Nothobranchius furzeri: one gene and its partner. The protein of the gene in region 2 interacts with the protein of the main gene of each other region in a pairwise test. Links are inferred from orthologs where the notes say so. Each region holds a gene or a part of one and is shown on either strand. Other genes may lie near its edges. The genes, in order: cct5 and znrd2.

Evidence for each region.
Region 1: the proteins of znrd2 (region 2) and cct5 interact in binary tests that used the Homo sapiens proteins (3 or more experiments, as listed by UniProt). The two-hybrid records come from large-scale screens. The link is inferred for Nothobranchius furzeri from reciprocal best matches to the Homo sapiens genes ZNRD2 and CCT5.

The regions. Positions count from the first base shown.
Region 1 is NC_091747.1:54,097,892-54,102,456, forward strand, and holds the start of cct5 (T-complex protein 1 subunit epsilon), read right to left. Parts: upstream 2,947-4,565; 5' UTR 2,793-2,946; coding exon 2,688-2,792; intron 2,318-2,687; coding exon 2,257-2,317; intron 2,126-2,256; coding exon 1,961-2,125; intron 1,560-1,960; coding exon 1,361-1,559; intron 1,236-1,360; coding exon 1,043-1,235; intron 950-1,042; coding exon 800-949; intron 711-799; coding exon 591-710; intron 514-590; coding exon 328-513; intron 251-327; coding exon 113-250; intron 30-112; coding exon 1-29. Other genes in the region: mtrr (methionine synthase reductase), read left to right, coding at 3,640-3,783, 4,345-4,498. UniProt on the Homo sapiens protein: Component of the chaperonin-containing T-complex (TRiC), a molecular chaperone complex that assists the folding of actin, tubulin and other proteins upon ATP hydrolysis.
Region 2 is NC_091750.1:56,222,037-56,226,591, forward strand, and holds znrd2 (protein ZNRD2), read right to left. Parts: upstream 2,845-4,555; 5' UTR 2,766-2,844; coding exon 2,750-2,765; intron 2,416-2,749; coding exon 2,264-2,415; intron 1,723-2,263; coding exon 1,638-1,722; intron 1,496-1,637; coding exon 1,056-1,495; 3' UTR 767-1,055; coding exon of another isoform or gene 754-766; 3' UTR 381-753; downstream 1-380. Other genes in the region: leucine repeat adapter protein 25-like, read right to left, coding at 1-130, 754-766. UniProt on the Homo sapiens protein: Might play a role in mitosis. Antigenic molecule. Could be a centromere-associated protein. May induce anti-centromere antibodies.

The DNA of each region.
Region 1 (4,565 bases), on a different chromosome or scaffold from region 2:
CTCATGGCATACTGCTCCAATGATGGGCACTGACAAGAAAATAGAGCAGAGTTAATAAGCGAGCAATAAACAGATCAGTTCTTTATCAAAGAAAATGGTTTTCATTTGTCACCTTATCTGCAGCCTGGTTGACAGCCAGGGCACAGGCTATCTCTGAAGCTCCGCCCCCATACACAATACGGTTATCTTTCACCAAATTGCGGATTACACACAGAGCATCGTGGAGAGCACGCTTGGCTTCCTCAATGATCTAATGAAAAGGTTTTGACCATTAGACATGAATGTGATGAAAAAGGACAAAAACGATACAGCCTTGTGAGAGCGTACCATTTTGTTGCCGCCTCGGATGAAAATGGTTACAGCCCTGGTGTTTTTGCACTCCTGGATGACGAGCATGTGATCCTTGGTTGTGCCAAAGGAGATCTCCTTCACCAAGCCAGCGGTTCCGAGCTTCTCTGGTGTCAGCTCGCAGAACCTCGGCACAATACGGCCTCCGGTAGCTATAGCAATCAACTAACAAAACACCAAAGGGTGAGCTCGTAGCAAGGGTAGCTCATTCTGACCTTTCACATGCAAGACTTCTACCTCACCTCAATCTCAGGCCCTCCAACCCAGCGCACAGCAGGCAGCTCGCTTTGCAGCAGAAGATGGTTGGCCTCATCATCAAAGCCCCACTGGCAGATGGCCAAGTTAGCACCAGTGCTTTTGACCTAGAATTAAGGTGTTTTTATTCTTCCTTGATTTGCATGAACCACAAAAAGTCATTTTTGTAGCATCGGGATTTGTGAGAATTACTAACCTGCTGGATCATCTCCTCAAACTTCTCTTTTTCATAATTCTGGAGGGCTTTGTAGTCCTCAACGGAGGTCACATCCAACTTGTGTTTGGTCTTGGGTTTAGGAGGCTCAAACGGGCAGGTTAGAATAGCGATTTTAACATCTTTGAGAAGCTAATTGAAAAGAGAATTTGTTAGCTCAGGCACGTTAAAGCATCACAAAAATGCAGCAATATTTACAACAAACATTTATATTTTAAATCATACCTTGGGCATCTGAGGGTGGCTGAACTCCTTATCCACTATGACTCCCTTAATGAGCTGTGTGTCCTCCAGCTTTCCTCCCACCTTGCCCTCCACCTTGATGAGCTCAAAGTCTACATCCTTCCTTTCCATGTCGGCCACAGTGAGGATGGCATTCACTGCAATTTCCGCCATCTGTCTGTGGCACCGGTTGATGCTAGATAACAACAATAGGATTAAAAGGTGATTTGTCAAATCTCAATAACTCACTTAAAAAGCAGCCAGGTCACAGGGGCACAGGAAAATGGCATCAACAACTACTAAAATAATAATTTAATTTACACTTTTGACCCCAGCGTTGTCATGGCAGTCTGAATGAGTGGTTCGGTGTTGTTGGGATCGAAGGGGAAAGTTTCTGCTATTTTGTCCAGCTGCTCTATGGCTATGCGTGCAGCTTGGTCGTAACCATCGGAGATCCTGATGGGGTGGATTCCTCGGTCCAGCAGCTGCTCGGCCTGCTCAAGCAGCGATCCAGCCAGCACTGAGGATGCAGGAAAATAGGTAAACAGAGTCAGAAATGCATTAGAAGAGCAGTAGGTAGTGGAGGTAGACCGTTATGGGGTTTTCTTTCCCCAATACCAACAAGTATGAGTCATTGCCGATACGAGTTGTCACTTTTTGGCCGATATCTAGACATTTTCTGATTCATTTGCATGCTAAAATGCCCCAATAGTAGCAGCACACAAATCACTTTTAGGAACTCATAATTTACCTGCCAAAACCTAATTTTATGCACTTTACCGAATTAAAACTATTTAACTAAAATAAAAATATCAATACTAACCAAGAATTCTATATAAAATTAATTAACACAGAACATATATCACATGTTCATCTACAAAAAGCATTCACACAATGTTCCTTCTGCACACGTTTACACACCAACAACTCCAGTGGTTCCATCACCAATCTCATCATCTTGGGATTTGGACAGTTCCACCATCAGCTTGGCAATCTGGTGGTCCACATCCATCATGCTGAGAATGGTGGCGCCATCATTAGTGACAGTTACTTCTCCATCCTTGTCAACCATCATCTTGTCAAGACCTAAACGGTGACATGACATGGTAAACCTGCTGTGTTTGTAACTAGATTAAATTAATAATCTAATGGTCACACAGACTCTCGACATCTCAGCAGTTATTCAAGTGAAATGACATCACTGCACTGGATCGTACCGTTTGGACCCAAAGATGTCTTAAGCGTTGATGCCACTGCCTTGGCTGCCATTATGTGAGACTGTAAAACAAAACAAGTGCATATCAAAACACATTTTACCTCTAAAAGTCACCCTCAAAAGGCATGTAAACAGCGTGTCGGCTGTATGGGTGATGTACATGACCATGCAGGGTACAGCCCTATGTAGCACCTCCTACTAGATGAACGCACAGGGAGCACATGGGCCTCTTCTTAGCATAGCTAACGAATTCATTTCATTTCCTAATCTAATTCAGCTTATTTTGCACAAACATCAGAATGTGTTGGACAAATTCACTCATGCAACACAAAGCCGTATGTATAAATTCGTGTTGTAACCAAATTAAATATCTAATAGCAGGTTTGCTTGTTAGGCCATCACGCTACATGTATGCTAGCTAGCTCATTGTACCTTCAGTGCATCAATGCCCGATAAGCGTGTCTTCTTGTCTTGGTCTTTAATGATGATGAAGGGCCTTCCATATTCATCAAAGGCTAATGTGCCCAAAGTGGACATGCTGATTTGGAGTTTAGAACACACAATCGGCGTTTATCTGACAGAATAACGCGTTTAATGATGTGATCCTGGAGTGTGGCTGAACTGCAAGCCGCACGGATCTGCCGGGGACTTCTGGAAGGCTCCACGGGTGGGGAGGGCGGAACCAAATTCAGTTCAGCGTGTTTTCTTCCATTCCTGTCACCTTTTTTATAAACGACAAAAGGCTTGAACAACTATATCATAAATTAGTCACAATCATACAAATTAATATCATTGCAACTGACAACAAATTTTAAACAAGGGGAACGTCTTTGTCGTAACTTGGTTTGTTCCGATCACGCGCAATCTCAGTTTGAGCTCAGATCTCGCGTGAATTCAGTAACAAGACTAATTACCGGTATGTTGGCAAGGAGTTGACGAGGTGAATTTTCATACAATTTAAAAAGGTAGAAATACTTTATTAACTTTAAACTGCTTGTATTTCCTGTGTATTTATTACGGACTAATGCCAGAAAACACGATTCTCTAAAGAAAGTGAGTCGAGTTTCTCGGAATTCCGAATTAGTTTACGGACCAAATATGAAATGTTATGTTCATAAAGTGTTCTTGAGTGAAAAACGTCCACGTGCGCTGTTTTGGTAACTAGTCAAAGTTTGACGCAACATCCTGGTACTGACGGTAATGGTGGCGTAGCGGTGTGTTAAACGTGTTTCTGTGGCAGCCTGCCTTTTATTTGTCCAAGTATGTTGGTAAGCTGAGATGTTTGTTAAAATGCAGCTGATAATTGATTAGTTAGTCTCACTATTTTACCTGTGGCGTTTTAGAATTGCCTAAATATTTATCTGTTTATCTGTTTCCCCCCAGCATGCCTTGTGAGGTGAAGCATCGATTTGTGGTGCTGTTTGGGTCCCAGAAGGGCCAAGCTCAGGCTATAGCTGAGGGGATAGCCGAGGAGGCTGAGGAGCACGGTCTGACTGCTGATCTCAGCTGCTTGGACCAAAATGAGAAGGTAGATGTTAATAAATTTACGTGAAACAGACTCAGTAGCCGCAGGAATTTGCCAGGGGCCTCGTGTATTAGGACGAGTCTAGCAGGTCAGACTACTCATGTATTAACACTAAATCATCGTAGCATGCACCCTTTTCCCACACCTATTTCACGGCTGGCTTATGTGCTTTTCTACCTTTACCTGCGTGTTTGGTGACACTTAATAGTGGGCTTGCAGGGAAACAGTGAAAATAAATATTGTTAACACCAGATGCACAAAAAATAAATAATAACTTCACGTGTTGCAATTACATTGTTGGATAATAAAGCATGCATATTATGTGTCCAGTGTTCACTTATGCTCAATATCACCTTTGATGGATCATATGAAGGAATTGTGCGTAAATCCGTACATACATCTGGATTAACTTTTGCATACAGTTTATTCAAGCCTAAGTCATCTTCTTGTAAGAAATCCACAGAGATCTTTCAACATGAGGTCCCTGAGGTAGCGGGTTTTAACTGAATGCATTTTCACTTGGATTACATAAACCCAAGTAACTAATCATGTAACTGATTCCAGTACAATTTGGAGACGGAGCATGCCCCAGTGATCTTTGTTACGTCCACCACTGGAGACGGAGAACCACCAGACAATGCCCTCAAATTTGTAAGGCGGATCAAGAAGAACACTCTTTCCTCTGACCACTATAAACACCTTTGCTTTGCACTTTTAGGTAAATCTCAAAAGCAGGTCAAAGGTCATTTTTTTGTGGTGTACAAATAGGGGCTAACATTTGCAAA
Region 2 (4,555 bases):
CGAGCGTCCTCACCTGGTAATAAATAAATGCTGCTCTTTGTGCAGATGGGGGCATTCACCGGTGGTCCCCTAATGAGACACAATGCATTAATGTCTGCCTTCAAAACCTTCCTGATGCAGCTAATTAATCCTTATGTCAGATTAATGAAGACACTAGCCAGTTACTTAGGTGGTTTCTGAACAAAGCCTGATGGTTTAAAACGCAACAGTAATATATTTTCTGGACTGGATATAGCCGATTTGATCACTACATTTATTTATTTTTTTTCTACTAGATTTGCTCAATTTGATCAGTTCACACGTTTTTTATCTTGTTTCTGTTTAAATTAGGACATGTCATGTAGTCCAAACACAAAATGGCAGTGAAATAATTCAACAGCTTCATCACAAACACTTTATATAAGAAAAACTGTCAGTTTCCAAAAGGCTTCAGATTAGCGAGTTAAAACGAAGGATTTACATGAAAGTTGCACATTTGAGAATAAACTTTTTATTTAACCACCTATGTGCTAGCATGTAAACCGGCGCCCTCTGGTGGACAAAATGATCATCTACAGAGCAGAACTGAATTTATTCTAAGTCACATAATTAGAAAACGGATCACTAATTTTTTCAAATATTAAGTCCTAATAATGTACAGCGGGAAAGGTGTGTATGTTCTAGATTAAATATGAAAATGAAGATTCTGAGTCTCAATTTAAAATTTGAACTACAAAATGTCCTCACAGACACACTATGTTATTTACATCAAACCTTTTTTACTCATCAAACGATCAAAGACAACTAAAGAAAGTCGATCTGCTTTGACAACTGATGAATGTTTGTACTCATAATTTACAGTTTGACAAAAGCAACATACTTCTACCATCGGCACACCTACACTTTTTCAAGAGGAACTTGAGCACATTTGAATTGTGATCCAATTTCCATTTAATTTGAGCTTTAAGCAAAGAATTAGGCAGAGAGATAAAGCCGACCCAAAGTTTGTACCCTACAGCAGCCAGAACAAGAAAAGATATTCCCGTCACTCCGTAGAGTCAACCAGTCTCCTGTGGTTACTGGCTGAGCTCCTTGAGGCTGCGCAGTGAGCTGGCGCAGCTGGTGATGAGGCTGCAGAGCTGGATGCTTGCCTCAAGTGAGGATGAACTCTGTAACTGGGTAGTGGCCCAGCGAAGTTTAGTAAGAACTGCTTCCTCGGCTTCCTGCAGCACAGGTCGTAGAGCGGCGCTCTGCGGACTGACAGGGGTACGAATGGGAGCTACGCTTGGGCTGGAGACAGGAGCTGAAGGAGATGGGGCGGGAGGTGGAGGCAGGAGGGCTCTTCCTCCAGCAGCAGCGCCCTCACAGTGCTCTGGTCGGGGTTGAGGAACCGTCACCCCTGCCTGACTGCTGCTGCAGGGTGTCTCGTTGAGTTGAGAGGCTTGGGTCGGTGGAGGGGACTGAGCTGCAAGCTGCTGCTCTCTCACCTGAGACAATGCAGCCTGAGCATTCAGAGCTGGAAAACGGAACAAAGAGGTGGGACTGAAATATGAACTGGAGAGATTAAATCCTAAAGACACCACAGAGGAACCAGCTGCCCTTTTTTAGGGCCTAATGAGCTCCAAAATCAGGGGAGAGCAGACACAACTGGCGCTCACCAGGGTTATCTTTGTCGATATCAGAGTCCAGCTCCTGACACGAGACACAGTAGTTCTTCTGCTGCTTGTCCTGTAGAAGAATAGTCTGAAAACACACACACGAATACACACAATCACTTATATAGCCATAATTATGTTTTATAATATTTGTTACTACTTCAACTTCAGGACAAACTACCAGAGGCCCAAAAAGAACAAAAAAACACCACTTGAAGTCAGTCAACAAAAGATGTTTGGACCTAGAAAACAGTGACCGGTGTTTAGCGCCATCTCTTTTCCTCTGGCAATGCAGGTTCCTGTTTCCGGCCAAGGACAATCGCTGATGGGAGGGGTGAGCGTTCCTTGACAGTGTTTGAGTTTAAGCTTAGCTTGTTTTGAAGATTTGCTTTTACCTTTTTTAGTGTGTCATTACAACAAAATGATAACCGCAGTTCTCTTAAGGTAATTTGAATAAGTCAGTAAGTAAACATTTTGCAAAAATACTTTCATAAAACAAAAGATAAATTCCTTATTAATGCTTAGGCTCTGTCCTCAGCAGGGAGGCCACAGAGAGGTGCAAGATTGCTGTCAGGGTGGCACTGGCCCACCCTGGACCCACCCCAGAACCGCCTCGGGCCTGAACTCACCCCGCAAGCATCGCAGCACTCCCCCAGCATCTTGTAGCCTTTTAGAAGGTAGTCTCCCATCAGCTTGCTGATTTTATCTTGCCGTTCCCTTCGAGCTTGGATCACCTTCATCTCCGCCTCACATGGAGGTTCCCACTCAAAGTCCTCTTCATCTGCAGGTCAGCAACAACGGAGTAAATTAACTGAATCGCACCAGTGCAAAGCTACACAACCAGAAACACAGCTTTAATATTTACGCGTGGTGATTTATTTTCTCGTTGTTTGGCTGAATTTTTATCAAAAGGGGTCAGGAAATGACAAGTTAGCCAGAAATACAACGCTGTTATCGTGGAGATAACACTTTCCCCGGTGGCGATGAAAAATATTACAATAAAAATAAAAATACCGCAGAAATCACCGCTTAAATGAGTGCCAAACGACGTAAGACACTAAAACACACAGTGAAACGGCAAAGTTAGCAAGGAAATAACAGTTAAGTTCACATACCTCCATTCAAAGCCATGTTGCTTCAGTGCTACACGTTCTGCGTGATGACATCAGGCGCTGTCGTCGACTTCCTCTTCGTTCATCAAACTGAAACCATGCAGCGGGTTAGAGCGCCCCCATGTGGGGGTGATGCGCATAGACATGTAGACACCCGGCGCTGGAGAGCGTCACTGTGTCGCCGCCATATTGGATGGGTCTCCTTACTGTCCAAAGTCAATGCAGAGTGGACAAATTTGCCCGTTTTTTCCAGCCTACCATAGCTATGTGTATATAAACCATCGACATATACATGATATAAACACTAGTTGGTGAAAGCGAGAGTTGAGGGCGTAGCTAAACGGCGGCCATCTTACCCCAGACAACAGACCTCTGCTCTCAATGGTAGCAGCTGGAAGGTGAGCGATCAGCTTGATGTAAAACAATCTTTACTCGATTAAATATTAACACATTTACAAGCGATTTGCCTTGATACAAACCTTAGAACACATAGGCTTGAGATAACATACTTGCAAATGTTAAAATAAACGGTTTTGCTTTTGAAAGTGACTTAATTGTGAACCATGTGCCCCACCTATAGGCTATTTGCGTGTTATTCAGGTTGAGACCACAATAAGTAATTTATTTGGTTTTACAAAACCAATAACGATTTTACGACAGCCAATTATTTTTTGTCCAAATGGCTGTGTTTGGGGATTTATTTTTTTATTTTTTTGTATTGGCACTGGAGCCTATCTCCAGCAGTCAACGGGCATACAGGAGGGGTACACCCTGGACAGGTAGCCAGCAATATATATATATATATATATATATATATATATATATATATATATATATATATATACATACATAATTTAGCCTTAATCTATTCCTGTTCTGTGAAATAGGTTTTGTTTAGAGATGTTTCAAGATTATTTTGAGGTAAGCCCACATAAACAGAACACATATGCAAAATGTGCACCCCAAAAAATAAGACAACCAACATCCAAATTACATCGGTCAGCTAGAATGGGCCGCCAGCAATAAAATGTAACCCAGCTAATTATTTTGTATTTTCACTATTTCTCGACCTATTTATTGACTTTCTTTTATTCTGTCATGAATCGTGTGTTTGTCATGTGTTTATATACATATCTATGATTGCAACAACTGGCGTACTATTGAAAACAGATCACATGGGATTACTATGGACCTTTCTAGCCTACCTGATGGAATTTTATATCTTAATTTATTTCATCTACTTTTAATTATTATACCATACCATGTGTCTGATTTCGTGAAAAAAGCTTGATAAAATGTGATTTCAAGTTGGATAAGCACCTTCCTCAGTAGAAATGAATGCACTGGGGTGAATGGAGGCCCATCTAAGATGGCATCCGACGTTTGCTTATATATGCCTGTGGTGATGTATGTATGTATGTATGTATGTATGTATGTATGTATGTATGTATGTATGTATGTATGTATGTATGTATGTATGTATGTATGTATGTATGTATGTATGTATGTATGTATCTATCATCTATCTATCTATCTATCTATCTATCTATCTATCTATCTATCTATCTATCTATCTATCTATCTATCTATCTATCTATCTATCTATCTATCTATCTATCTATCTATCTATCTATCTATCTATCTATCTATCTATCTATCTATCTATCTATCTATCTATCTATCTATCTATCTATCTATCTATCTATCTATCTATCTATCTATCTATCTATCTATCTATCTATCTATCTATCTATCTATCTATCTATCTATCTATCTATCTATCTATCTCTATCTATCTATCTATCTATC